Linked DNA regions of Astyanax mexicanus. Each later gene encodes a partner of the first gene's protein in a complex. Links are inferred from orthologs where the notes say so. Each region holds a gene or a part of one and is shown on either strand. Other genes may lie near its edges.

What was found.
Region 2: nup214 (region 1) and nup205 share a complex: the UniProt entries of both Homo sapiens proteins name them as parts of the nuclear pore complex. The link is inferred for Astyanax mexicanus from reciprocal best matches to the Homo sapiens genes NUP214 and NUP205.
Region 3: nup214 (region 1) and ranbp2 share a complex: the UniProt entries of both Homo sapiens proteins name them as parts of the nuclear pore complex. The link is inferred for Astyanax mexicanus from reciprocal best matches to the Homo sapiens genes NUP214 and RANBP2.

The regions. Positions count from the first base shown.
Region 1 is NC_064408.1:3,826,301-3,836,833, reverse strand, and holds the start of nup214 (nuclear pore complex protein Nup214), read left to right. Parts: upstream 1-5,438; 5' UTR 5,439-5,618; coding exon 5,619-5,660; intron 5,661-8,227; coding exon 8,228-8,423; intron 8,424-9,765; coding exon 9,766-9,917; intron 9,918-10,533. UniProt on the Homo sapiens protein: Part of the nuclear pore complex. Has a critical role in nucleocytoplasmic transport.
Region 2 is NC_064416.1:18,025,395-18,035,727, reverse strand, and holds the start of nup205 (nuclear pore complex protein Nup205), read right to left. Parts: upstream 4,759-10,333; 5' UTR 4,682-4,758; coding exon 4,654-4,681; intron 1,923-4,653; coding exon 1,780-1,922; intron 1,582-1,779; coding exon 1,410-1,581; intron 1,180-1,409; coding exon 1,035-1,179; intron 878-1,034; coding exon 718-877; intron 451-717; coding exon 222-450; intron 1-221. Other genes in the region: protein FAM107B, read right to left, coding at 8,441-8,560, 9,187-9,343. UniProt on the Homo sapiens protein: Plays a role in the nuclear pore complex (NPC) assembly and/or maintenance. May anchor NUP62 and other nucleoporins, but not NUP153 and TPR, to the NPC.
Region 3 is NC_064418.1:23,984,211-23,994,670, forward strand, and holds the start of ranbp2 (E3 SUMO-protein ligase RanBP2), read right to left. Parts: upstream 4,759-10,460; 5' UTR 4,620-4,758; coding exon 4,548-4,619; intron 1-4,547. Other genes in the region: LIM and senescent cell antigen-like-containing domain protein 1, read right to left, coding at 8,053-8,191, 8,742-8,817. UniProt on the Homo sapiens protein: E3 SUMO-protein ligase which facilitates SUMO1 and SUMO2 conjugation by UBE2I. Involved in transport factor (Ran-GTP, karyopherin)-mediated protein import via the F-G repeat-containing domain which acts as a docking site for substrates.

The sequences.
Region 1 (10,533 bases):
CTTGTACTGTTTACAATTTGCTTAATCCATTTTAGTATTCCTCTTTTGTTCTCTTTTCTTTGTTTTCTCTTATTTTCAGACTGACTTAAGCATCATACATTCATACAAATGAAGAATTGAATCAAATTAAATGTTAATTTTTGATTAATCACTGTTAGTTAATTCATGGTTGTTTTAAAATTAGCTGAAGTGAACGCAGCTTTCTGGACGTTCACAGGCCCCTCAGCATAAACCAATATGAATCCAGGAGGACTGGGTTCAGTACCGGGTGCAGGGTACTTGGCGGGGTACTATGCGGGGTACTGGGACGCGTGTGTTGTGTGATTTGTCCGTGGAAAATGATGTCAGCACTTTAGTGACCTCACCGTTTTTTGGGTGCAGGTTGGCGAAATCTACCTGTGAGGTAACAGACGGGCAAACCTTCCAGGCCATGTGCTCCAGCGCAGACAATCAGAGGAGGAACGTGCACTAATGTTCTAGCAGAAGTATTAGCATTGTTAGCTAGCTAGCTAAGCCACTGCAAACTTTCCAGCTTGGCTTGATTTCTGCGTGCCTGAGCTAATGCGGGTTTAAGAAGCGTCTACTGGGGTCATTTTTTTGGCTGAATGGGGAATCAGTTGTCTGAAGTTAGTCTCCAGTATCGCTTAACGACTAGCTTTCGGTACCGACCGCTAGTGCTAACGTACTCTTGCAAAAATCCAGTGGCGGTATATAAGCATGGACGCCTTGGCGCCTTTTCGGACTCGGAACGTATTAATTTGGTAGCCTTGCCCCTTTCTCCCAGACCATGCCCAAGCATACTGTAGTCTCAGACTGCCTTCATTGAGTTTACAAAACACACAAGCGGAGGAGGAACGTGCACTAACGTTCTAGTAGAAGTATTAGCATTGTTAGCTAGCTAGCTAAGCCATTGCAAACCTTCTAGCTTGGCTTGATTTCTGCGTGCCTGAGCTGATGCAGGTTCTGCAAGTGTCTATTTGGGTCGTTTCTGAATGGGGAATCAGTTGTTTGAAGTTAGTCTCCTGTATCGCTTAACGACTAGCTTTCGGTACCGACCGCTAGTGCTAACGTACTGTTGCAAAAATCCAGTGGCGGTATATAAGCATGGACGCCTTGGCGCCTTTTCGGACTTGGAACGTACTCATTTGGTAGCCATGCCCCTTCTCACAGACCATGCCAGTAGCTTAGCAAGCTAGCTAACTAACTTAGCTAGCTAGCTAGCTAAGCTACTGCAAACTTTCCTGAGCTAATGCAGGTTCTCCAAGCGTCTATTTTGGTTGTATTTTAACTGAATGCTGAGCGAGTTCTTTGAAGTTAAGCTCTTGTATCGTTTTATGACTAGCTTTTGGTACTGACCGCTAGCGCTAATGACTAGCTTTTGGTACCGACCGCTAGCAATAACGTACTGTTGCAAAATTCCAGTGACGGTATATAAGCATGGACGCCTTGGCTCCATTCCCCTCCGAACTCGGAACCTACTCATTTGGTAGCCCTGCCCCTTCTCTCAGACCATGCCCGTAGCTTAGCAAGCTAGCTAACTAACTTAGCTAGCTAGCTAAGCTACTGCAAATTTTCCTGAGCTAATGCAGGTTCTCCAAGCATCTATTTTGGTCGTATTTTGACTGAATGCTGAACCAGTTGTTTGAAGTTAAGCTCTTGTATCGATTTATAACTAGCTTTCGGTACTGACCGCTAGCGTTAACATACTGTTGGAAAATTCCAACATACAGTAATGTTCTTGGAGAAGTATTAGCATATTAGCATAACTTTCCGGCTTTGCTTGTTTCTACAAAGCTAATGCAGGTTCTGCTAGTGTCTCTTTGTGCAAGTTGTTTAAAGTTAGCCTACTGTATCCCTGTACAACCTGCTTTGGGTACCAACAGCTAATGCTAACGTTATGCTAATGCTAATGCTATGTCCGCCATGTTGACAAATTTGCAACCAGAGTCTCTGCCCTTATTCCAGACTAATCTCAAGTGTCTCAGACCGCCTGCATTGAGTTTACAGTGTAGCCTAAAGTACCAGAAGCAGTTTATCCTTTAAGCTAACAACTTTTGGTTAGTAGAATGTTTTCTGAACGTTACATTTAGCGTTCTTAGAATGTTATTTTCTGGATGTTTCTAGAATCTTTTTATTTATTGCTTTGAACTTTCTGTAACGTCATCGAGTTAACGACACTTCAAAGCGTCCAGTTTTTATTTAGTTTTAACTTTTAACATTTCCCTAATGTTGGTATACGTCTAGTTGGGAATGCTATGTGAGAAGCGGTCTAATAACGTTTTAATGCAAACCATTGTTACGTCACAAGTTTTCAGAATGTTCTTGGAACGTCATTTCCGTAACGTTACAGGTTAACATTTCTGGTACCTTTTCAAAAGGTTGCTAAACATTCTTTTAACATTTTCTAACATTAGCTGGATGCTCCCTATAATAAAGGTGATTGGTCTGTTCTAGACAAGGCTGCCGCCTGTCAATCACTTGATGATGTAGCCCCGCCTACTTGTTGCAATATAGAAGAATAACACTGTTGGAATTGTTGGATACTGGAGAGAAAAAGACAGTTTAGAATAGAGAAATTTGATGTGAGATGGGAAATGGGCGGGGCTTTTTTATGTAATTAAAACATATGGGAATGGTTGGAGCTACCCGTCATTCTGCAACCAGCCAGCAGAGGCGCTAGACTTGTGGTGGCTTTATGTTTAAGAGACTTTTGAGAGACGTTGCGCTGTCCATGCTTATGTACAGTTACTGTAAAAACCTGCAAGACAATGCTAGTCCACGGGTGTAAAACAGCTAGCTAGCGATATAGCCTATAGGCTAACTAACGTTACGTTACGTTCTAGGCTAACTACCTTTAGCGGCCAGGCTTCTTTCAGTATGGCAATACTGTGTGAATGAGATAATTCAGTACATGTGCTTCAGAGTTTTAAAGTGTGAAACACGTAAGTCCTTTAAAAAAAAAAAACGTTGTTTACGACTTCAGACGACACTTTAGACTTTAAACGTGAAATACCACCGACTACATCCTGATACGACTAAATCATTCACATTTTATCAGCCAATCGATTTCCTCCACCAACGACAGATTCTGGTTTGGGTTGAAGTTGTGTAGTTCAAGTGATTTAATTCCTTTTCAAATGCAATACTGAAAAAAAAAACTGCTTTCTAATAAAAGTCCTTATTTCACCAAAAACGTTTCCTGTGTTGTTTATTATTACGAAATGTAGGGTATTAAAAGGGTCATTTTTTATCTTTTTTCAACTTCTGTTACTGGCACTCACTCCTGTTACTGGAACTCACTCCTGTTACTTGCACTCACTCCTGTTACTGGAACGCATTCCTGTTACTGGCACTCACTCCTGTTACTGGAACTCACTCCTGTTACTGGAACGCATTCCTGTTACTGGCACTCACTCCTGTTACTGGAACGCACTACTGTTACTGGCACCCACTCCTGTTACTGGAACGCATTCCTGTTACTGGCACTCACTCCTGTTACTGGAACGCACTACTGTTACTGGCACCCACTCCTGTTACTGGCACTCACTCCTGTTACTGGCACTCACTACTGTTACTGGCACTCAGTCCTGTTACTTATGTTTTAAGTAACAGGACTGAAAGTAACAGGAATGAGATTTTAGCCTAGAATTATAGCCAATAGCGTAAGCACACTGAGCACATTCTAGTGATTTTTTCCAAAATTTCTATTTAAAAAAATAAACCAATAAGATGTAAGAATTAATTTAGGTAACAGGACTGAGTGTTGAGATTGAGCTCCTCAGTCATCGTTACAATAAGATCAAATATACAGAAAAACTAATGAGGGAACTTCGGGAATTTTATTCTTCAGAAGAACCAACTTCCTATTGTAGATGTCACTTCCTGTTGTAGATGTGACTTCCTGTTGTAGAATGTTCCAGATGTTTCAGATGATCAGGGTAATGTGTTACAGTAACAGGACTGAGTGAAACCACAACACAGTGACACAACTAAAATGTGTATTTTAACCTTAAAATAATGAATTTATTATGAAAATATATTTTTAAGCATAGATGGGATTTAGAGTCACACAACAATGCAAAAAAATACATCTCTGAATGATTTTAATAATTATATTTCATGGTAAAGTTTATAGTTAGAGAGTGGGGTAACAGGTATAAAATGCTATTTTTATTCATTGTTCTAAGTAGTTTTTATTAATGTTTTTAATTACATATCTTACTTTTGCAATTAGGCCAGTGTACAATAATAAAATGTATTTTAAAGTTATTTTGTGTGCACATTTATACATGTAATTTCGTGAAGACAGAAATGGCACAGATTCAGTGGAATATGCCAAAAAAAAATTATTTTGCTTTTGTTGGAGTAACTGCATCTACTGTCCAGGGAACACTTTTTTTTACTAGATGTTGGATTTACATTGCTTTGAGAATGTATAATGCTTTATTGTTAGTTTATAGGAATAGAACTGTGGCTAATGACTCCAGCAGATCTGAATATAACAGCATATCTAAATGAATAGAGCCAGAAGGTAACATAGACACAGAGGCACCTTGAAACACTGGCATTTACCCACTCCACCAACCACAAATCTAAGATACTTATAACTAATTAAAGCTATAAAATATTAAGCCAGTTTACTTGTTATGAACAAGCTGATATTTTAAGTAATTGGAAGAATATCAATTACAGTAACTACAAAAGTTAGAAACAAATATTATGATTATTATAATTGTTATAATTATAAGGGCCATTAAATTCAGTATATAAGTTATTAATAAGAATTAATGGTTTAAAAGAATAAAATAAGCTAAGAATAAGATATGCTGAGAGTTTAAATTGATTCATTTGTGCACACTCAACATTGATTCAATTTGTTATGTTTATCTTCTTTTTTATGTGTGTTGTGTGTTATGTATTGTTTATATTCTTGTTTGTGTTCTTGAAGTGAACATTTAATAATAATAATAATAATAATAATAATAATAATAATACAATGTTTTTCCATCCTAAATATTAAAAGATTTAATGCGAGTAAAATGTAACGTTTCTAGAAAAATTAAACAAATGATTAAAAAAATAAATACAAATCTTCAACATGTCTAGTATAACTTTGAGGACTTTTATTTTGTATATATGAAGGCTTTTGTCTTGTAAGCAGTAGTTATATTCACTACTGAAATAAAGTCACTTTTTAATCATATTTTTAATAATTGAGATGCATTAATAGCTTCCATTAAAAAAACACAGTGCTAATGAAGCTTTTATTATGAAGAAAGGAAACTGTATCAGATGATAGGGGACTTCTATTGTATAATGCCCGCTTTTAGCGGATGAGTGAGGACTTTTATTGTGTAATGTCCGCGTTTATGCGTCGTTAGAGGACTTTTATTGTGTAATGTCCGCTTTTATCTAGCGATAGAGGACTTTTATTGTGTATTGTGAGCGCTGTCGCAGTTGTGTGTGTTCGCATGGCTGCAGTGTGTGTAGTGTAGAAATGAGGAGCTGATAATTCTATTTTTACAGAGAGAAATATCTGTAATTCTATAATAATCCAGTAGATCCTGTAGATCCTGTAGATCCGGGTACTGCGGGCTGCTCTACTGAACGGCGGGAATATGGGGGATGATCAGTACCCGATCCCCGAGCGGGATATGAAGGTAAAGTTACAGCGCGCGCACAGCTAACAGCTAATGCTAATCCAGCTAAATACTGTATAAACTACTGTGAACTACAACTTTTATAGCTTATGTCTGATATTAATAAAGTGTATTAATTATTATTAAACTGGTGAAAATCCCCTGGAGCTCATATATGTACTATTTACTATTATAATCTCTCTAATTTAAACTGAAACAAACTGAGCTAGCCTAGCCTAGTTTAGCTAGTTAGCTTAACTTATACCTAAATATCAGTTCTTATTAATCGTATAAATCTGAAATAAACATTTATCAATGTTTTTATCACTAGTTTCTGTTAAAAACTACACTGATACTGTATTACTAGTTAAACGTCTAACTAACATTTATTATTTATTAATAATAGTAACGCACTTTCAAACGTTAGCTAACTTAGCTAACGCTAAGTAGTTACACATGAAGTTGTCACAATGTTGTCAACTTTCTTACAGCGTTGTTTTAACGTTATGTAGATGTTGCACTGCAACAATATTGTCTGAATGTTAAATTGTCTATTTTAGCAACAACGTTGTCCAAATGTTGCACTCTTAGACAACAGTGAAAAAAATGTTTCACTTATTTTTTTGCAGCAATGTTTTCTAAATGTTGAGTTGTTTATTTTTAGCAAAAACATCTGTCTAAATGATTAACTGTTTGTTTTAGGAACAATGTTGTCCAGATGTTGCACTCTTTCAACGTTGTCTAAATGTTAAGTTGTTAAGTTGTTTTTAGCAAAAATGTTGTCTTAATGTGGAACGGTTTAGGTTTTCAGCAACAACGTTGTTTAAATGTTGCACAGATTTTTTTGTAGCAATATTATAGAAACGTTGAAGTGTTTGACTAATCAGCAACGTTGTCTGAATGTTTCATCAATGTTGTCTAAACGTGCAACATCTAAATGTTGCATTGTTAATGTTTTATTAGACTCATAACTCCTGTAAACTACAGTGTACTACAGCTTCTGTCTGAGATTAATAAAGTATATTAATCATTATTAAACTGGTTAAAATCTTCTGGAGCTCATATACCTGTATTTACTATTATAATCTCTCTAATTTTAACTAAAAAAAACTGAGCTAGCCTAGCCTGCTATATATATATATATATATATATATATATATATATATATATATATATATATATATATATATATATACACACAGAGTTAGCTAAGCTAGTTAGCTAAACGTTTAGTTAAATATCAGCTCTTTTTAATAACAAAATTACTGATGTTTTCTACTCTAGTTTCTGTTAAAAACTACACTAATAACGTTTTCTAAACGTCCTTTAAGAATATAGTTTACGCTAGCTTACTTGCTAGTTGTCACAACGTTGTTTAGTTTCTTACTGCTAAGTTTCAACATTGTCTATAAGTTTCACTTTCTGTTCTTATACACAACGTTTTCTAAATGCTTAGCGGTTTATTTTATCAGCGTTTTCTTAGTGCATCACTGTTTATTTAATCAAAAACATTGTCTGAATATTGAACTGTTGTTTAAGCAACGTTTTCTTCATGTTGAACTAACGCTAAGTAGTGAGCCAGCAAAAACATGTTTTCTCAATATTGTCAGCTTTCTAACACAGTCGTTTTATTATGTTGAATCAATTATTTTTTGGCAACGTTTGTCTAAATGTGGAACAGTTTATGCTTAAGTAACAACGTTGTCCAAATGTTGCACTCTGTTTTAGCAATTTTGTCTAAATGTTGAGTTCTTTATTTTTAGTAACAACATTTGTCTTAATGTTTAACTGTTTGTTTTAGAAACAATGTCATCCAGATGTTGCACTCTTTTATCAATGTTGTCTAAATGTTGAGTTGTTCATTTTTAGCAACAGTTTAAATCTTGCACAGATTTTTTTTTGCAGCAATATTACCTAAATGTTGAACTATTGTCTGAATGTTCCACACTGTTTTATCAGTGTTGTCTAAATGTTGCACTCAACATATTTAGATGTTGTTGGGACAAATGTTGCAATTTTTTTTTCAGTGTATTAGTTGTGTGTCATTTTGTAAACTTATTACCGTTATTCAATATTTATTGCATTTTACCTAGGTTTGTGCTATTAACAATTACAACTTTACAACAGCATCAATGTTTCTTACCATTTAGACTTTATTACTGACTTTTAACAGATTTCTAAATGTTTTACCTCAATAGCCTAGTTTTCTTGCTGTTCTTTTATTTTGCATTTTTTTAAATAAAAATTTAAATCAGAAAACTACTCTACATCTCTTCATGGCTGTCTCTCTCTCTCTCTTTCTCTTTCTCTTTCTCTCTCTCTATTAGCATGAATGTAGTTACATACATTATTGCCAAATCAATTAATAATACAAGTAACAGACAAAAAAAATACTAATAATAATAACAAAAATAAAATACATAACTAAATCTAAAGATTAGAGAGAAAAAAACCCAGTAATATTAAAAAGGTTGGGTTATTAATAAAGAAAATAAGTAAAAGTAGTCATAAAAGCATGTTAAAGTTAGATTAATAAAACATTAAATTAAATTAATAAATAAGTTAATTAATCTCTATTTCTGTAACAGGATTTTCAGTTTCGTCAGATGAAGAAGATCCGGGTGTTTGATTCTCCTGATGATCTGCAGAAGGAGCGCTCTGGTCTTCTGGCGATCTCTAATAAGTTCGGCGTGACGTTTGTGGGTCTGGACAGAACTCTGAAGGTTTATCTGACTCGGGAAATCATCGCCGCCGCGAAAGTGGATGGAAACATTAATGAAATCGGTAAGAACTGATCGGTTTTACTAGATTGAATTATCTATCTGCAGCCTGAGGAGCCATCTTCAGTTCTAATGGCTGGAGAAAGGTTTTAAGATTTTGCGCCCTGTTTTAGCGGTCTATAGCGAGCAAGCGTGTCATTGTGTCTTTGCTATCGTAACGACGGGAAAAGTACACCTTGCGCGGCTTGACATGCACAATTATCACACTATAAGGCCCACTCAAAATCATTTAATTTCTCCAAAAAACGTCAGAGTGCCTTATTATCCGGTGCTCCTCATGTATGAATTCTACCAGTCAGGTATTAAGGAGCAGTAAAGACACTCCACTGAAGTAATTAGTTCTCCAGCACTGGGGCTGGAGCAGTATTAGCATTAGCTGCTAACCACGCTAGCTTTTTTGCCGTTCACAGGCAAATATTATCAGCCTGTAGCCTGCTGCTAACCATGGCTAGCACTGCTGGAGCAGCATTAGCATTACCTGCTAACTGCATTAGCTCTTTTGGTTAGCTGCTAATGCTTCAGCTTTAGTGCTGGAGAAGTTTGGGAACCTTAGCTTACTGTAAATAAACAGAAGAGCTTTAATCACCCAAATAAACAGTTTTCAGGAGAGAAATCTGTGTAGATTAACATCCAGTGCTCATTAAACTTTAAAATTAAGTCTTTTTTATTACAGATTTGTTTACTTAGCTTAGCTTTACTTAATATTGTTACCTACTGAATTAGTGCTTCCTTATTGTGTCTCTTAAAATGGGCCCTATAGTGCGAAGAATACAGTACTAAGTATTTCAATTGATCATGGGTGTGGTTAATTTTGGGGCTTAAAGTGTCTCTTGCTCATCATTCCCTTTAAGAGAGTCAAGTGAGCTCTGACTTTGGTGGATTGCTATTTTAACGGTGCAGCTACCTGGACGTGTCCAACAAACTCTTCTCAGCAGAGGAAACTGAGCTGCTGGTTGACTCTGTGAAGGAGCTCCAGCAGCTCATTTACGGGAACAGCAATGTTATTTTATTTACTATTCTGTTTATTGTTGATGTAAAAGTTGTGTTTGTGTACTGTTACAGTGTTGCAAAGATAGCGATGAACGTCTGACTTTCGACTGTTGTCAGGGTTTTATACAGTCAGTGGAGCTCCTGTGTTTTCTGTTACCAAGATAGAGATAGCAATATACCAGAAATGTACCTAAACACACCTCATTTCCAGAACACCCATCAGTGTAGATATATTCAGAAACTCTGCTGCTGTTTAAACCAGGCAGGTTGAATCTGATTGTCTGCAGTGTTTTGCAGTATCTGAATGTCTAGTTTTGGTGAATCCTGGCTGATATCCCTCTGTTTCTGCTCCTCAGTGGAGAATGTAAAGTGTCAGGTGCTGAGTGTGGATCTGCCCATGCACCACCTCGCCCTCAGCAGTGATGAGCTCACGCTGTCTGTGTGTGGGGTTGGCGAGGACGCCGCTCTCACCATGGACTTCTACGACGTCCGCACCTTCTTCAACAAGGTAAATACACACAACAAAGAGAGGCAGAACATTTAATAACACCTAGACTGTTCAGCTAGTCCAGCTAGTGTCCGCTTATACTGCAGTCAGAGCCCTATTAAAATATTGCAATTTTTAAATATTCAGGAACCAAAAGTATTGGACCAAAAATGGTAAAAAAGCACTTTCGTTGCTCAGTTTTAGTTCAAAGACCAAATAATTAAGCAATAATACACTCGATGTTTGTGCTATAGCATGTAATATTGGCACTGCTGTGCTGCGGTGGTAGGCACGAAGCCACAGGCCAAGTACTGTAGATCATTACTAGTTTTACACGTTCTAGCACGAACCTCAAGTGTATTATTGTGATTATACCACAGTTCCAATATCACTGTTTATTGAAAGATTTTGAGTTAAAGAGGAGGAGAAAATATGATCAGTTTTGTTCTAAAAACTCCACCAGTTAAAATAGTTCCATTACTGCTCTGTTTGTAGCTGCGCTGTAAGCTCTGCATTATCGACCATTTCAGTCAAAACTTACTGTAAATAAACACAAGAGCTTTACTCACCTAAATAAACAATATTATCAGCTCGCCGACCAATCAGCTCAGAGTAGCGGTAATGCTAGTGCTTTACA
Region 2 (10,333 bases), on another chromosome or scaffold:
AATAACAAACAGTACCCAGATTACCCAAATTACTTGGTTGCCTTTTAAGTTTTGCATATTTTGTGGCATCCCACAAGGTTCTATTTTAGTGCCTATATAGCATTTGTAAATTATGACAATAATATAATTATGCGAGTAAACAAAGTATGACACTACATACAAGGCTTCAAGAGTTAAAAGCCCAATTTCACTGCCACTGTATGCACAGAACAATGACGTACCGTCTCGGTCTTCTGTCCCTTGCTCCAGAAAACTGACATCCAGGCAGTACAGCAATGCCATGACCAGTGCAAGGTTCACACTATCTAGTGAGCCATCAGCTTCTGCTGTGACTGTTTCCAGATGACCAATCAGGGCAAGCATATCATCTTTGTTAAGGGGTGACTGACACGTCCATGAAAACAGACACTCAGCTAGCGACTGTCTGCACTCTTTGATGAGGTCAGACACCTGTAGAAGACAATAATGAAGCAACAAACTGATTAAACGTTTCAGCAACACTTAAAGAGAGTTCCCTCCTACTCCTAGTCTACATTTTTGATATGGCAACTACACATACTACTACTACCACCACCACATACAAAAAAGGAACCCAATTGTGCCTAAATCTAAATATTTAGGGTCTGATTCTCAGGCTGTAGTTATGCTGTAGAATATAGTTTCCTTTTCAAGTCCCATCTGCTAAAAAAAACTGCTTAATGAATTAACAGCCCTAACCTCTTTCCTATGTTTCTCGTTGCCAAGTCCTCGCTCCTTCTGCAGCCTCTCAAACTCCCGTGTGACATTAATATCTGACACAAGGTTCAGGATTTGTTTGGCCAATCCCTGAGCCATCAGCTCATCTGTAAAGCGTGTGGTGAGACTAACCAAATCCGCACTATGAGGAACAAAAACATACATACAAATAAATATGTAAAGAATTCACACACATGTTCATACAACATACAAAAAGCAAGTATCAGAAATAAACAAAGTGCCAAGGTATATATCTACATATATTTATTTTAAGGTATATTTATAAACAGGCCCCATACCCAAGGTCGAGAGTGAAAGTTTTGCCATGACGTGACTGGATGAGAGAGCGCAGAGAGTTGGCCACACAGCGCTTGCCATCCCAGTACAGCAGAACAGCCACCAAACCCCTTGTCAAACCGGGAAAATGAGGCTGCTGATGCTCTCCTGCGAAGAAGAATAGTAATTAATCTTACCTTTCAAATCATGTCAAATATGAACTGTAGCTTAATATTCATTCTTCTCCATTAAAAATATCAAATAAACAGACAACCAATAACAAATACATATACGTATATATAGCCTATTAATTAGCACCATGCAAGCCAAATGGACAAAATTTGGATTTGCATTTAGCTTCTGTGTGTTTGCATACATGGTTGTGTGTTTTGGTTTACCTGCAAGCAACAGTTCAAGTGCTGCAAGCTCTCCAATGTCGAAGAGATCACTGAGGATAAACGCCTCTGTAAGCAGCTGCTCAGGGAGAAGTCGTGAGCCCTGCTGGCCCTGAATAGAAATTCCCTCTGTGCTGGCTTTCCTCACTTTCTCTCTCTGCTCTGCACTTTTTGGCTATTTCCAAAAGAAAATATGTCCACAAATAGTTAAATTAATTACATGTGTTTATGCAACAACATCCCTACAGATAGCTGACTATAAAAACATATATTAATAGGTCATTGAAAGGGTTTAATACAATAAATTCATAAAACAGATCAGGCCTAGGAACTAAACACAGCCTAAGGGAAAATCTTCAACACTGTACTGTACCGGGTTTTTGAACAAAGACAGAAAGTAGGGCTTGTTTTTTTTCAACTGCAAATCCAGAAGATGAACACTTTCTGGTTGTTTCCTCCATATTGAGCCCTCCACAGTCTCCCATAACTCTTTCAGTGGACCCCACAGACTGGCTCCTGCACAGGAAATACATCCACACAAGCCGTAAACCAACATGTAACAACACTTTCTCAGTTATACTGTAAGAATACCACAAAAGAAAGGTCTCTAATACACAATAGGCATAGCAAGCACAACTTCACAGAGCTAAACAAAGTGTATACTGTTACAAATTCTACAGGTATTTATTTAGCAGATGAATAAATAAAAAACAAAAACAATAATCCTATATGACTTAAAAAAAGATTACTAAATAGTGGACTAATAAAGAATTACAGAAATACACTTTGGGAATGTGTGCCTTATCAAGTCAAGGCCTTTAACTGCTTTATACTAAACAAAATTCTGCATTACATATACTATGGCATAATTCATGCATTATATAAATCACACAACATACACACACTCTTCTAGTCAGTCTGCTAGAATCTAAGAAAGGTAACCAACTGCCCAATAACTTTGTTAAAATTACTGTAAAAACATTAGTAGACATCAAGCATTTCCTGAAGCTACTAAATATTTTTTCATTTTTCTCTCATAATCTATCTGTCTGTTCTCTCAATTTAGCAGTTTATTACCTCAATTTAACAAACTGTTTCTTTAATTTAAAAACATTCCCTCAATTTTACAGTTTCTTTAAATTAACAAACAATTCCTTCAATTTAATAAACTGTTCCTTTAATTTAACAGTTCCTTCAGTTTAACAAACAGTTTCCTCAATTTAACAAATTGTTCCCTCAATTTAACAAATCGTTCCCTCAATTTAACAATTCCTTCAATTTAACAAACTGTTCCCTCAATTTAACAATTCCTTCAATTTAACAAACAGTTTCCTCAATTAAACACAGTTTCCTCCATTTAGCAAACAGTTCCCTCAATTTAACAAATCATTCCCTCAATTTAACAAACCGTTCCCTCAATTTAACAATTCCTTCAATTTACAAACTGTTCCCTCAAATTAACAAACAGTTCCCTCAATTTAACAAAAAGTTCTCAAATTAACAAACAGTTCCCTCAATTTAACAAACGGTTCCCTCAATTTAACAAAAAGTTCTCAAATTAACAAACAGTTCCCTCAATTTAACAAACGGTTCCCTCAATTTAACAAAAAGTTCTCAAATTAACAAACAGTTCCCTCAATTTAACAAACGGTTCCCTCAATTTAACAAAAAGTTCTCAAATTAACAAACAGTTCCCTCAATTTAACAAAAAGTCCCCTCAATTTAAACCATTTCTTTAATTTAACAGTTGCCTCAATTTACCAAAAACTGTTCCCTCAATTTAAAAAAAGTTACTTCAATTTAACAAACTTTCCCTTAATTATACACAGTTTCTTCAATTTAACAAACTGTTCCCTTAGTTTGTGAGTTTAACAAACGGTTTCTTCAATTTACCACAGCTTCTTTAATTTAACAGTTGCCTCAATTCTACAAACCTTACATTCAATTCTACAGTTTCTTCAATTTAACAAACTGTTCCTCTCTATTTAACAAACAGTTCCATCAAATTAACAAACCTTTCCCTCAGTTTAACAAACAATTCCCTTCTCCAAATTATATTAAAACATTCTCTCCCTTTAGTGATGTTCGTCTTTAACTGAATAATCTATTAGTTTAGAAAGGGTACTTTGGTTTCTCCAAAAACTATTTTTCCATCCTTATATTTAGGGACTTACTGTTTCAGATTTGCAGGCCTGTAACGCTAACCTAGGTCATTTAACTATTCTGTAGTGGAATAATGAAAACAATTAGCATTAGCTACAATTAGTTTAATTCTGAGGCCAGAGAGTTCTGTCGATTCCTGCTCACAACAAAATCACCTGTTATATTAAACCAGATGATGGTGTTTAAAAAGTTATCTGGGTGCTGTTAGACGCAGACTCAGTTCTCTGAACTTTGAGCATTATTTAGTTAACTAAGAGCGAAAGTATTTTTTACACCAGACTGAGCCAAGCTAAGCTTGCGTTAGTAACCAGCCGCCAGATATATCTAGGCTATATTCAGGGGGTTGCTGTTAACAAAAGCCGGGGAATTCTGTTAGTTTAGACGTGGATAGAGGTGAGTATAATAGGCGTGTTGGTGAATAACTGTGTTTATTTGACTGTAGGAGGCTGATAATTATGAGAACAGCGCTGTTTAACAGCTTAACAGCTAACCCCGGTGTTCTGTCGAGTTGTGCTACCCTGTAAAACCGTGCTACCCTTTTTAGTATAACTTATTTAAACGTAAAAATGCCAAAAAGGCACAAAATTATAACATGTTCACAGCAGAAGTCGATGTAACGTTACTTTTTTTGAACAGCATAATTCACTGTATCAGTGTAAAGTTATGGTAATGTGAGTTTTTTATAATCTTGCTTGTGTTTTTTATAATCTTTTATTATTATTATTATTATTATTATTATTACTTGCAAATACACTTGTGTAGTGACAGTGAGTACTGGTTGTTAAATACACAACAAAAACAGAATTATTATAAAACACACGAGAAATCATTAAAAAGATGTAGGTTAACGCATGCGCAGTCTCTTTAGGAGGCTTGTATAGCTGGGTAGCATAACTCGACACAACACCGGGTAATGGAACCAAACTGAACTCAAGAAACAGGCAGAACTGCCTTCATATGCAGCTTCAGTCGCTCATGAATCTCCCTAAACCGATCCCACAGCTTTACAGACTGTTATAATAAACAAACTACAAACACACACAGCCCTGAGGAGTGTTGAATAACCAGCACATGAGCTCCGTACCTGAATTTACCGCCATCTGCGCAGCCATGTCTGCTCCACCACCACCAGCCCAGCCGCAGCCTCCCGGCTTATCGCCAGACTGAAAATTATATACGGTTTCGGATCACTGCGTGCCAAGCAGGAGATGGTTCTATACTTTAAACTCTCTATTCTTTTTTAAACATGCTCAATTACACCTTCTTAAAAATAAGTGTGAAACAAATTATAGTTTTTCGAAATCGATTTTCTCTCAGGCGATTAACCGGGAGTCCAAGTGTCGAAATGGCGGTTTGTAGTTTTAAGAGGATTTTGAAGTTAATTTTGTAAATTAATCTCAAACTGAATTAATTTTAATCACCTTCATGTTCAGTTTCCAATAAATGTAATATTAAACACTCATCTTCAGACTACAGTTTAATTTACTGGACAAAATTGAGCTTCTGCTAGATCGAAGCAAATTAAACGACTGATTCATCTATTTGACTCACTGAGTCATTGATGTGAATCCAATATGAATCTTTTCTGAATACAGGCTTGTGTAGGGTCACAAATAGTATTTATGGCATTATAAATGATAAATGATTATGTCCCAACTAATTATTATTTGACACTAGTTAAGACATTATTAAACATTATTAAATTATTTAAAATGTATTGCTTATTTTTAAAATAATTATTAATAATTATTTAAAAAAATGTAATGATGAGTAATGTCTTAACTAGTGTCAGATAATAATTGTTTGAGGCATTCCGTCATAAGTACTGTTAATTTAGGTACCCTTATTGTGTTACCCAATTTTTGGTTAGTACACCATGCCTTTAATATTTCACACACAATCTCCAAACAGTGCAATAAACATGATAAAAAGTTATGTAAATGACATAAAATCTGTTAAAATTAGTTTATCATACTTTTTCACTGGCTCTAGTGCTGCCAATCCCTAATGTCTGGGTTGCGGTGTTTTTTCCAGTGCAGTGGGCGGGGCTGCTGTTTCATTGGGTTGTAAACCTTTTCTTTGGCTGATTAATGGTCTATTTTGATGGACAACAGGTCTACAAAAAAATAAAATATTGGATGTCTATTGTTATGCACGCAGGGTTTGAAAGGGTTATGTATGTTATAAATAACATATAATATATAAATAACTTTAAATGTTTTTGTATTCTTGCTCTAAAACATCTGATGCAAATGATATGTTTATTATAAAAGACAAAATAAATAAAATTGTTTAGGACTCTCAAGCTCCCATATAACATATGAAATATATTATACATGCCATAAAGGTTTAATACTTAAAAGATCTGTACTTTAAATAAGCCATAGACCTAAGATAAGTAAATACATATCAATACAGTACCAGCCAAACGTTTGAACACACCTTCTCATTCAATGTTTTTCTTTAATTAATTTTCTACATTGTTGATTAATATTACAGACATCAAAACAGTGAGATGGGTAAAAAGCAGCAACTATTGTTCAGCACTTCCAAAAACTCCTTCAAGACACTGAGAAAACTATTCCAGGTGACTCTCCCTCATAAAGACGTGAGAGTAAAATACAAAGTGTGCAGATCTGTCCTCAAAGATAAATGTGCTACTTAGAAGAATCCATAATCTAGAAGTATAAATATACTAGCTGTAATGTTTTCAATATTAAATTTACAATGTAAAAAAATAATAATAAACACATTGAATGAAAAGAGGTGTGTCCAAACTTTTGACTGGTACTGTATATTATGAACACCATTAATTAATCCAGCCAAGTTTCATTTATGTGTCAAAGTAAGTGCATTAACAAGACTCGTTTCTGTGAAAGTGAAACTGAAGAATGCAGTAAAAAGAAGCATTGAGAAGATAAAGCCATAAACAATAGATGTATTAAAATTTTACATCATTGAAAGGGAACATTTTTTAACCTTCATATTTACATCTTTATGGAAGAGTTGGATAAGGCATATTTACTTAAGTAGTCTAATAATCAAAAGAACATTAGATGGATTCTGAAGTGGGTATCGTCTCTGATTGCAGCACTGTGGAACTTACACAATGGTGCCACCTAGGGTATTTAAAAAGCACTTTTTGACAAGCATCCAAAAGGAAGGTTTAGCAACTACAAGTTAAACATTTCTCTTCTGTTCACGAGACATGTTTAGTGTCCAAAGGTCTACTTCTTCTGCAGTACTGGCTCAGCAGTTAAAGTACTAAGATGTTGCTCACCGGCTTGTGGTCCTAAGCTACTCACTGCTGGGCTTCTATACATGACATATAATTGTCCTTTTTAATTACTTAAATTATTAAAGTTAACACAAATGAGAAATTTGGTACCGCTTAAGCTGATAAAAAGAACGGTTGAGATACACAATACACAAAGTTAACTGAGCTGATTCAATAGAGCTATACTGACTGCAGTTGCCAAATTGTTGTAGTTACATATGGTCACCTTAAGACTGTCTTATATTTTGATGGTGCAACCTTGATGAGACAATAAACCTTTTCCTTTAACTCTATTTGCATACTGGGTATGTCTTTCCCCACTTTTACTTACCATCAAGGTGTAGTCATTCCCCCCCGGCTCCCTTACCTGTGGTGCTGCTGCCTGGCCTCAGTTTTGAAGGCTGTAAGGGCAATTTAAGACTTACTCTACTGTTGAAAGTGGCTTTATGTTGGCTGAATGCTTTACGTGATGCAGAATTATGGTTACCTGACAGATTTGTATCAGTACATGTACTGGACTCCAGCCTCTGTTTAGGTTTTACTGTTTATATTCAGGTCTTTGTGAATGATCTGAGTGGGTGGAAATAAGACAAACATCACATCATCAACATGACAAAATAATATTTATTAAAAGAAGTTTTTCTGAATTAAAGGGAGCACGAGTGGTTGGGCATTGGCTCAAATCTATACATTAGACTGTGAGTCTTCAATACTGAACTAACAAAAAATGCATTTCTTTCCTAGACCTTCCTGATTGCACTCAACAATTACTACTCAGGTGTGGAAAAAAATACAAGAGTGCCTCAACACAGTGTTCTACACCATTGCAACTAAACTGTATTTATAACAAATTTATTTGTAAAAAAAGAAAAACAAAAATATTCAAAAACACACCAACCTAGTTCTAGTATTGCTTAAAATAGATGTAGCTTAGAAGGAGTGCACAGATATGAAGATTAAAACAACAAAATAAAGCAAACATCTGTACATCACAGCCAAAGGTTGAACTGTTGAGAATCCATATTCATATTTTTTTCTTTCTTTTTTTCTGATCATCAACCAAAAGGAGGGTATAAAGTCCTCATAAAACCCCTCATCATCAGCATCATTCCAAGGCAAAACTGAAAAAAACAAACACTTATTTAGGCTTGCACAAGTCCATCCAGTGTCCCTCTAAACTTGAATTTCTGAAAATAAGTTAAAAAAGAAAACAAGAAACAGCAGAAAAAATAAAAATAAAGATAAGCTAAAGAAAGAGAGAGATAGAAAACGAATTGGAAAAACTCTGCGTGTGTTCTGTCCGTCCTGCCATGTAAGTCCACCAAAGCCCGCCATCCAGCCAACCAGCCAGTGACGGGGAGACTGTGCCTTTGTGTCTGAGTGCGCATTTTTCATTTCAATCCCTCTGTTTGCTGCCGGTGTTTAGGGGTTAGGGTAAGTGAATACTGGTCGTGTCTGCAGGTCGGCAATAGGAACCATTCACGGTTTTCACAGGAACACAGGGAGCAGGAACACCAGGGAATCCCCACAAATCTGCAGTCCGGTTGCCATGCTTTCATGTGCCATGGACTCGTTTAAACCCCCCATAGTGTGTCTAGGTGGTGCGCTCCTGTTCGTCCACCTCCTGCTTGGTTCTTCTTAGATTGCTCTTCATTTTAACAAATTCCGGGGTGTTCTCCTGCTCCTCCTCATTCTTCTGCTGCTCCAACTCCAGCTACAGACACAAATACACAGAAAGATGTTTTACAGTCTGAACATCTGCATGTTGGGTTTCTTGGTTGTAGTTTGTGTTATGCATTGTGGAAAAAGGGGTTCACCCAGGAAGTAACCCCATCTACTGTACTACTTCAATAAGAGCGCTAAGAACTTTCACTAGACTGTGACACCCGACAATCCAGACACACTCTGCACTGCTGTCACAATAAAACTCCAAAAATGGCAACTTTAAATGAGAAAAAGAAAAAAAATGGAAGTCTTTCTAAAATAATTTTTAAACATTTTTATTGGATTATTTATCATGAAAAACCTACAAATTTTGAGATACAAGGTTCTTTAAAATAGCAACAGAATGTACACTGAAATGCATAAAGTCATGGGATATTAAATGAGGTGTACACTTGTGTGCTCATGGGAACGCAAAAGTGTATTTGTTTTGCCAAGATCTATTTGTAGTTTAAAAGTTTAGTAGTAGACTAGTGGTAGATCTCCATGCAGTATGCTGGAATGTCAGACTGCCTGTAGAATTGACGCAAGAACATTTTTGATTTATACTCATTTATAACACTGTAACATAAAGGATAAAGTAAAACAGTTTGTTCCAGTGATCTGGCGTGTATGTACCTGTTCAAGTTTTTGTTGTCTCTTCATGAGCTCAATTTCCAAATCTGATTGCTTCTTATGAGCTTCCTGCTCTTCCTTCTGAGCTTTCAGCACCTGGTCTCTCTTCCTCTTCTCCATCACTTTCTGCAGCTCGGGCTTGTTCTGAGGTGCCAGGCCCCTGCAGAGAGGAAACAGGCCACACACACATAGGATTTATGAGAAAACTCATACACATGGATTAGGTCAAAACAGGCAGATGCAGGCCTAAAATCCATGACAGCAGCTATGACGTTGAGTAGCATCAGTTCAAAGTGTGTGGGTGTGTGTGTATGTGAGAGTGTGAGTGTGTGCGAGAGAGAGAGAGAGAGAGAGAGAAAAAGTAAATCAGATTGGTCCTGTTGCCAAGATGGCCATCAACAGAGCCACAATCCCCTGAGTCACCATGGCAGCTCTGTCACAGCAGCCATTTAGCTGTGTGATTTAGATCAGGGAACAGGCTGAGTCAGAGGGAATATTAATTCACAGAAACTTACATAACAGCAGTTTGCGTCCAGATAAAAAGCCTGCCTGACTGCCCCACATGCACTAATCTCAGGATGTTTGCATGGGATTGAGAGATGAGGGACTAAATGATAATAAGACAGTGCTCTAGTTTTAGAGCGTACAGAACTGCCCCCCTTTTTACTGTCAAACACTGATAGTTTTGCTGGACCTATAAACTGCCTGAATGAAACCATCTGCCTGCTGGGCTGAAACAGCTGTTGAGGAGTGTGACTGATGTACCACATCTGAAAGGAAAAATAGAGTTTTTTTTACAAGATCATAACGCATCCTGGCTCTCTTTCTTAAACTCCAGTGATGTTAATCTAACATGTAATTTGTTCCCTTATACACTTGTTCCACTCACTCGTCTTCTTCCTTATAACTATATGCTTAAGTGAATTTAGAAGACTGACGTTCCATATTTTGCTGCAAAGCTAAAAGAAAGAGTTAGTGCTACCAATGTTTGATTTAAACTGACAAATATTAAGTGCAAATAAATTGAAACTCGGAAAGAAGCTTTTAAAACTGCCCTTGCTCTACACTATTATTGTATGTGGATGGTGAACTTTGGTACTATTATATAAAATTTTTGTTACTCAACATTTACATTTTTATTACTAATGGA
Region 3 (10,460 bases), on another chromosome or scaffold:
GTAAATATCTGGGCTTTTAAATCCCATGTTTAACTGAGTAAATATGTACGTGAATATGTTGCGTTTAAGCCCTTTTTTTGAGACACAGACTGTGTACTGAGTAAGTAGGCTCATTACCTGTTACTGTGTTTGTCCCCAGCACTGTGTTGGGAGGTGCTGTTACAGATTAACCAGTACTCCACCCTGACATTTGAAGTAAACTATTTTTTTATAATCTAAATCTTGTCATTTATGTCAACTAAGCATGGCAGGCCTGACTGCAAATACACAGTATAACACAGATAGCACACCTGTAGGAAACCCCAGACTCATAGTTTTTAAACCTGTCCACTATGTAGAACCTCAAATATACTTTGAGTTCCACTCACAAAAACTGCTTTTATTTTGCAGACATCTAAGAGGGTCTGGAAACCTGTTAAAACTTGCTAGACTATGTCAGATTTCACAAATACTTAAATGCTGCTTACTATGAATATTAGTGCATGAGTGGTATTTATTTATTGCCTTAAACTTAAACTTAAAAAGCGCTATACAAATTATTTGATTTGAATTCTCTGACAGACCCTAAAATATATTTTTCTCCTTTTCTTTAACTTATAAACTTTTATTTATAAAATATCTAGACTATAATACAAAATGATTATCATATTTTAGTGCTGTCAAGCAATTAAAATGATTTTTTTTCCAGCACATTTTAAAAACACAGTAATAATACAAAAAATCTGTGATCATTTCTCACTTGCATATGGTCAGCGCTCTGATTCTTTATAAAAGTAAATGTGTAAAATGTGTATCATGGAAATAAATTATCACAAAACTATATACAATACTAATATTGTCCACACCTATACGCCAACATAAAATGTTTGTGTAAAACAGATTGTTGTTAAGCCTAAACGTCCTGATATTTTTCTTCAGCATTGTTTTACCAATTAGGGAAACCACCCTGACCCAGATGCAGCAAAACTCAAACCCAAACCGTAATACTACTACCAACGTGTTCCACAGATGCAACACCTTGTTTTCCTTTTACTAAATGTAACATTTCTAACCATTAACGTTCTGTACCATGTCAACCACAGTAGTTCAGTGTTCTTCTGATGGTAGACTCAAGAATATCAGTATTAAGCAGTGGGAGAATTGGGGCCTTTAGTTGCTCAGAAGTAATTTTGTTACTTTCGCTGAAAGTGAAAAATAATTTTTATTAACTGAAACCAATAGAAAAAAAAAAAGGTTTTAGTTAGGATACACTTAGTTTTCATGTGTTTGTTTATTTATAAGCGCTGTTTCCACTCAAGCAGTTTTACAGTGGGTGGCAACACGTTGCACCTCACAGTCAGTGGCGTCACTTCTGTTTACAGTTGCCATCTAACTGTGAAATAAAGACAGAAAACTGCAGAATTCTGTATGGGATTAAAATATGAGCACAACGAAGATAAATGTGTTCTGTAGTAGGGGTGGGCAATATGGCCCTAAAATAATATCACAATATTTCATGGCATTATCGCGATAACGATACTATAGGTGATATGATAAAAATAAACTACTGCAGCAAAACAAAACTTACATTTTATCATTGTATATGATATGACATGCACACCTCTAACTAAGATATTAAAAAAAAAAAAAAGAATTCTAGCAGATTTGTAACAGAAGTCAATGATTCAGAATGTCATGATACTACTAATAATAATGCACTCCAAATATCTCCATTTATCCAGGATTAAAGTAAAATAAGTGATATTGAACAGATATAATATGTCTCTAGTAGATATATAATAGGAATTTTCTTTTGCTTAAAACAGCCAAAAAAATAGTACCCTGATGTGATAATTAGGGCACGATATTTCAGGATAAAATATTGTACACTGTATTCAAAAATGTTAGCGATATTATCGTGTACGATACGATATGGCACACCTCTATTCTGTATTTAAAACAGCAGATACCGTATGCGGAATAAACATCACACAGCTGTAAGTCTATTTGAGAAGCAGCATAAGAGCCCTAACTGTGAGTACCTTTACCAGCCTTACTCTGAGTAGCTCATACACCAGAACAACTCAAGCTGGAAGATGAACTGATAAATATGTCTCTTTCTCACTCTTTCTATCTCTCTTACATACACACACATTCTCTAACTCACACACACTAAATAAACTGTATTTCAGACAGCTGTGATCACTTTCTGATGTTATATATGTGAGCTACAGTATAGTTAGTTCTGCACTAATATAGTAAAAAGTTTTATCTTAGCTGTATCTAGTGCCAGGTGTCCATTTCAATTTAATTTCTGACTTGATAATTTTGGTGAAAATGAGTAAAACCTGTATAGTTTATTGGGTTTCTGAGTTTGTTTCTGGGTTTCTCAAGTTGAGCTCTCTGATGTGATGTGCGTGTCATGTTCATGTGTGTTCTTTTGGCTATTTTAAGCAGTTTTTGGGGACAGTTAGTTGTTTCACAGTAACTGATTTTTTTGTTTTTGTTTCTTTTGTTGAGTTTTTTTTTTCATAATATCTTTTTGAATCCTGATCCTCACAAAAGTATGAAAAAAAAAACAAATGCTAGAATTAATAAAAACTAACGTTAACTAAAACTAAGCAATAATAAAGAAAATAAAATAATAAAAACTGGCACACCAACTCTAAAAACTAATTAAAACTAACTGAATTGAAGGAGAAAAAGTGGAAAAAAAAAAAAAAAAAGAATCTAGAATGAAAATTTCAAAACTATTATAACCTTGCTCCGTCCATTATCACTGAAAACAGCCGACACTAATTTCACTCTCAAATGTAAGAATCTAGAAAATTCTAAAGGGTTCACAAACTTTAAAGCACCACTGTACATCGAACATGATCTCACAGCTACAGTGAAATTTATCTGGAGTCTTTATATTAAGGTAGGATTTTAAACCATTTTTAAATTCCCTGTCTAACTTACTTGACTAATATCTACATATTTATACACATAAAAAGTTTCCTGTTATGTAAAAGGGTGTAATTGTATAATTATGTTTTTAAAATGATTAATTATTAATAATCATAATTATAATAATAATAATAATAATAATAATAATAATACTTAAATTGCTCACTGACATATTGGGGACAAAAACATCATACCACACAAGAATAAAGACAATATAAAACATACTTACAAAGCTTACAGAAACTGTATTTTCAGATATAACGTTATATAGACTAATTCTGACGAATAATACGACTAGTTTTAGGCATTAATAACAGTAATCTTACTATTTCTTTAAAAGATAGTTGTACTTTAGCTCTGATACTGTTCAGACATGTGAACTGCATCTCTCAGCCAGTCAAGGCCGGTTTAGATATGGTGAATTAGCATCAGCACCAGTAAGGATTTATTACAATTATCAGACTTGTGAGATTTGTACGGAAATGTGGAATTAACGTTTAGTACATGTAAAATAAATCAGTGTAGAGAGAGAGAGTTTAACTTGATCTTTAGAACCTCCCGCCCGTTTACCGCGCTTTCCTACAGTCAGCGCTAATGCTAATAGCCGGGTAACTGCGACTGTACAGCAGGGAGGTGTGGATAATGCGGTATAAATTATTAACGAAGAGATACGGGGTTTATTAATCTGGTGTTTATAACCCGGTTCACATTCACAGTGAACAGCTAAAAGCCCGCAGTGTACCGACTGTTCTCACTGAGGGACCGCTAGCCTAGCCTAGCCTAGCATAGCATAGCTAATACCGGCGACTCTGACACGCGCAGGCCTTCAGCTCCAGCCCCGCGCTGCCCTCACACACTGCGGCTGATACACACCCTGATCTACAGCTGGAGCTCGGTCAAATTCAATTCCGCAGTTCTACACATTAAACTTTAAACTGACCAAGTCTGAAGGAAAACTAAATAGCGCTGGATTCAGTAGAAACGTACTGATAGAAGAAAACACTGAATACAAGCTACTTTAATACATTTTAATGTTGATTATGGAAAAAAAACTTTAGTTGTTAAAATTCTGACACTGAATAAACCATCATTTAAAGGCTTTGGCTGGTTGGTGCTCTTCTACTCTCAGAACACAGACAGTTACCCTAGTTAACTGACGCTACCTAGCGTTAGGTTAGTTAGCTATTTAACGCTCAACGAGCTCGCTCACTTTCGATCTCTAATGCATTAATGTAACGTTAAACTCCGACATCAGAATTCGTTGAATTAACGTTGATTAAACAGTATGGTAGCGTTATGTATTGTATTTGCATAACGCTGTATTGTTAGTATTCAATTCTTATAAATTCTTAAAATAAAATATCTTAACTGTGATCTTGCATTGTAGCTGACGATAATGATGATGATGATTATTATGATTATTATTATCATTATTATTACTGGGGGGGGGGGGGGCTGGGGGGGGGCGTGTGAGCGTTAAAGTGCCACAAACACTAAAAGCCCATAACTAAATGAACTTAAGAAAGAGGGGGGGGGGTCTTCTCTACACAGAGCTGCTTTTGCTGGAGCCGGCCCTGGTAATGCTAATGCTAATGCTAGCGCTGGCGGGCGGTTGGTACCTGTGTGCGGGCGGGGGAGAGGCTCTCTACGGAGGAGATGTAGCGCTCCACGTCGGCTTTACTCCGCCTCATGTCTGAATCTGTCTCTGGGGTGGCGGGTGATCTGTGTTTCGCTGTTGTTCCGCTGTTACTCCGTTAATACACCGCTCTGTTTGAACACTCGCCGGGACCGCGCTCTTCCCCGAACCTGTCAAATATGGCCGCTCTCGTTTACCTTATCGCGAGATTTCCGTCCGCATCACACAATCCTATCACGCCTCCCAACAAACCATTCAGCCTATGAGGATTGAGGACGAACGTCCCGCCTCTAGAGTCGCAGCCAATAGAATGAAAGCTGCGTGTTTGCCGTCAGTGCAAGCGTGCTGCATGGAGAACAGGAGCTCCAGTGTTTTACAGTATATTACCTACGCTGTCCTTTATACGGTATATACACACTGTTCTTTCCACAATATATACACTCTACTTCACACAGTATATACACACTGTCCTTTATACAGTATATACACACTCTCCTATACACAGTATATACACACTGTCCTTTATACAGTCTATACACACTGTCCTCAACAGTCTATATACACTGTGCTTTATACAGTCTATACACACTGTCTTTTATATGATATATATACACACTGTCATCTACAGTTTGTCCACACTGTCCTTTATACAGCCTATACACTGTCTATATGCATGGTAGTGGTGTGTGAGGTGATGGTGTTTGTTTTGCTACAAGTTGATTAGATGCAGCAGTGCTGCTGGTGCTTTTTTAAACACTGCAGATATTTATAAAGATATAAATATATGTACATACTGGCTATACAAATTGTATTATAAGTAGGGTATTCTTTTTTTATTATTAATTTATAACTGGTATTAATAATAGGTGTGGTGTGAACAGAGTGGAGGCGTGAAACTCTGATGTCAGGAATCTCGAGTATTTTTTTTGGTATACATTCATTTTATTTAAATTATTTTCATTTCAAGCAATAGGCAGTGAATACTAAATAAACTCCAAACAAATAACATATACAATCCAAAGAGAAGCTGAGGCAAATCAGTGCACCTCATAGCAATACAATAACAATACATTCCACAATATATGCTAAATTAATATGCTGTATAAATGAAGTAGTAATATAAACTGAGTTTACACTGACTTCATACTGAGTATGAAGTCATACCCTCTATGGCATGGATTGGCTTTTAGGCACCAAAGAATATTTTTGATAATTGAATTTTCCTTTTAATGTCTTTGTCATTATTGTGGCTAGTTTATTTTCATTTGCATACTAAAACAGGGTTTTTTTATTTTTGTCTCAGTGCAACATTGTGCAGTTATTTTTTAATGGATATATCAACAGGCTACAATATTTGTTCCCAATAAATATGAAAAAAATCATGCTACAGTGGGCTAACCGGAGTATTCTGGGATGTGCATGAGTGAAAACAGGGTGGAAATAAGCGAGTTTAACACAGCACCTGTGAGATCCCAACCAAATACTTTGTGAGACACCCTGAAACTGCAGGTTAAATAATCTTCATTTTCTAGCTGTTCATGACCATATTGCAGTGTGAAGTTCATGTTTTACGCAATGTTTTTATCACGTCTTATTCTGTGAGATTATTGTCTGGCTGCAACAAAAATCTGATTATTGTCTGATGAGTTTTTATCTGTATTATGAAAAGCATGTAAATGCACTCAGTGAGAATCTAACTTAAAGCTACAGTAATCACACCACAGATCTAGGGACAGTGTTAGGCTTGGATTTTTGTTTTGTATTGTTTTTAATTGATTAACCACATCTCCAAATGTTTTTAGAATTTTCACAAAGTTATAAGATAATCTAAAAATTATGATTAAAGTCAAACAATATTAAAACATTAAAATCCTGGTTACATTGGTATTGCAAAGTTTGGGCATCCCTGATAATTATCATGATTCATCAGTCCACAGCACCTTATTCCAAAATGAAGCTGGCTTGTCCAAATGTGATTTAGCATACCTCAAGTGACTCTGTTTGTGGCGTGTGCTCAGAAAATGCTTCTTCTGCATTAATTACTCTTCCATACAGCCACTCCTTGTGTAAAGTGCTCTAAATAGCTGAATGTTGCACAGTGACTCCATCTGCAGCAAGATGATGTTGTAGGTCTTTGGAGCTGATCTGTGGGTTGACTATGACTGTTCTCATCATCCTTCTCCTCTGATTATCTGAGATTTTTCTTGGTCCGCCACTTGGGGTCTTAACTAGAATTGTGTCTGTGGTCTTCCATTTCCTCACTATGATCCTCACAGTGGAAACTGACAGCTGAAATCTCTGAGATCTGAGCTTTTTGTATCCTTCCTCTAAACCATGATGTTGAACAATCTTTGTTTTCAGCTAATTTTAGAGTTTTGTTTTGAGGCTTCCATGTTTCCACTCTTTAGAGAAGATGCAAAAAGAAAAAAAAACTTGCAATTGGCCACCTAAACCTTTCTCATAAATAGATTCACCTGTGTATGTAGGTCAAGAGACAATGAGCTTAAACTATTTTGAGAACGAATTAGTGCTAAAGGTATTTAAATTAATAAAACAACAAGGGTGCCCAAATGTATGCACCTGCCCAATTTTTCTGTTTACAGAATTATTGAACACTTTCTGTAAATCCAATAAACTTGTCAGATATTACAATATCATCTGATATATTTCACTGAAATTGCCGATCTGAACAACCAGTGATTTATAAAGGAAATCATGAAAATGATCAGGGGTGCCAACTCTGTATGCATAACACTGTATGCTGGTTTAAAACTTGTCAATGCATGTGTACATTTCATACAGTGACATTTTGGACACACCTTAAATTCAGTGTTTTTTCATTATTTTAAAATGTTCTGCAATAAAGATTAATATTAAAGTCATTCAAACTATGAAGAAACACATATAGAATTATTTAGTAAACAAAAATATTAAACAAACCAGGTAATGTTCAAAGTATCACCTTTTGCTTAGATGACAGCTTTTTCCATCTTAGCATTTTCTCAGCCAGCTTTATAAAAATTCATCATAAACCTAATGATGAAACTGGCTCTCATCAGAAAATCCCCCAAAAAAGAAGGGCAAGAGTTACCAGTGTTGCACAAGATAAGTTCAACAGAGTTACCAGCCTTAGAAACCACAGTTAGTTAACAGCACCCCATATAAGAACCCACCAGGGTATCTGGGTATTGCAGAATATTTTGGGTTTGTTTAACACTTTAAAGTTACTATATGATTGAGTATGTGTTCCTTCTTGGTCTGGATGACTTCAGTATTTATGTACAATATAGGATAAAATCATTGAATATTTATAACAAATACTAGAAAATACTACAGTACACATCATCAAATTTCTGCACTTTCCTCATAGAACTGCAACATTTCTGAAAAAAAAAAAAAGAAAAATTTGATTATTGAAAGTGTAATAGATGATAAACACAGTGAAAAAATGAAGAGAACGCAGAACACTAACCAACTGCTGGCGAAGATCACAGACAGATACCCATCTTCCTCTTTCGCTCCTTGGAGTCGTGTTCACGCTTGGCCAGTCTGCGCTTCAGCTCCTCCGGCATTCTTTCATAGCACTGTTTACACACCGGTTTCAGATCCAGCTCCACAAACTTCTCCCTGATAAAAACCCAAATCACTCACAAATCACTCTATTGGATATAATTACATCATGTATTTATGCTCATTAATCTAGTAAACCTGTGCATCCTGAGTACTGACATTCTCTACTGTAAGAGTGGTATTTTCACATTAGCTTTTTTTCACTGGTCCTTGTAGTTCTTTTTTTCTTATTTTTGTGAGTTTGGTTTAGTTTGGTGCAATGTGAAAACTGCTATGAAGCAGGAAGCAGTCTGGTCTTCCTGAAATCAGTGACCTTGGTTTATTTTTTTAAGTGGACTCTAGTGCAGTCCACTGCAGGTGTTTGGAACATTGATGATTCCACTTTAACATTACTTCCCTTTCCATCAGGATATCTTTAAAGTACACTGGAGTGAGGGTACTACTGTACTAATAAAGGACACTGTGATAGGACTGTAATTACACAGTCATTGAGAAAAAAGGAATTACTAAATAATAAATTCTTAATTTTAATGAAGTTATGGTGGTGAGGATGTTAAAGGGTTAAACACGCAGTGTCCTCAGTAAACAAGGTTTAAAGGGAACTTACTTAAGGGTGAGTTTAGTGCTGCAGGTGGAGCAGGTGAAGCAGCCGATGCACCATGCCTTATTCAGCGCAGACACCACTGAAAATACAGGAAATTAATCAGATTTATTATTTTTTTATTGTATACCTGCAGCAGAAATATCCATTCAGTCAACTCTAAATATTAAATATATGAACAAAAACGATTGAGGGTAAAGAGGTGACTATCTACAGTCGGGTAAAAAAAAAAAGACCTTTGTCTTTTTTACATGTATTTCTAATTGTATTATTTTTTTCCCCAATTTGGAAGGCCAATGCCCTAATTTCTGTTTATATTTACCCCCTACTAGGAATGCCTCTGATAATAGGAGGGTGATGTGAGTGCACACCTTTGTCTTTTTCTGCTGCCAATCAAAATGTTACAAAAAGCACTAGGCAGCAGCACTGTGATCATGGAGGAAAGCAGCGGATCCCCAGGTCTGATACATCAGCTTACAGACACCTGCACTGAACAGGATCACAATGGGAGTGATGAGCGGAGAGAGTGCCACCTACTGTACCCACCCAGAGAGAAACAACATGACCTACTGTACACTCTTGGACTCGGCTGCTACATCTACAGTACTCCCTCACTCTCTCTCAGACTCCGGCTGCTGATGGAGTACTTTCTCTGTCTCTTAGACTTCAGCTGTTGACGGAGAAACAGCATGACCTACTGTACTCTGTCTCTTAGACTTCAGCTGCTGACGGAGAAACAGCATGACCTACTGTACTCTCTCTCTTGGACTCCGGCTGCTGATGGAGAAACAGCATGACCTACTGTACTCTCTCTCTTGGACTCCGGCTGCTGATGGAGAAACAGCATGACCTACTGTACTCTCTCTCAGACTCCGGCTACTGATGGAGAAACAGCATGACCTACTGTACTCTCTCTCTCAGACTCCAGCTGCTGATGGAGGAACAGCATGACCTACTGTACTCTCTCTCTCTGACTCCAGCTACTGATGGAGGAACAGCATGACCTACTGTACTCTCTCTCTCACACTCCGGCTGCTGATGGAGGAACAGCATGACCTACTGTACTCTCTCTCTCAGACTCCGGCTACTGATGGAGAAACAGCATGACCTACTGTACTCTCTCTCTCAGACTCCAGCTGCTGATGGAGGAACAGCATGACCTACTGTACTCTCTCTCTCTGACTCCGGCTACTGATGGAGAAACAGCATGACCTACTGTACTCTCTCTCTCGGACTCTGGCTGCTGACGGAGAAACAGCATGACCTACTGTACTCTCTCTCTCAGACTCCGGCTGCTGACTTAGGAACAGCATGACCTACTGTACTCTCTCTCTCAGACTCCGGCTGCTGATGGAGGAACAGCATGACCTACTGTACTCTCTCTCTCTGACTCCGGCTACTGATGGAGAAACAGCATGACCTACTGTACTCTCTCTCTCGGACTCCGGCTGCTGACGGAGAAACAGCATGACCTACTGTACTCTCTCTCTCAGACTCTGGCTGTTGACGTAGGAACAGCATGACCTACTGTACTCTCTCTCTCAGACTCCGGCTGTTGACGTAGGAACAGCATGACCTACTGTACTCTCTCTCAGACTCTGGTTGCTGATGTTGGAACAGCATGACCTACTGTACTTTCTCTCTCTCTCTCAGACTCCGGCTGCTGATGGAGAAACAGCATGACCTACTGTACTCTCTCTCTCAGACTCCGGCTGCTGATGGAGG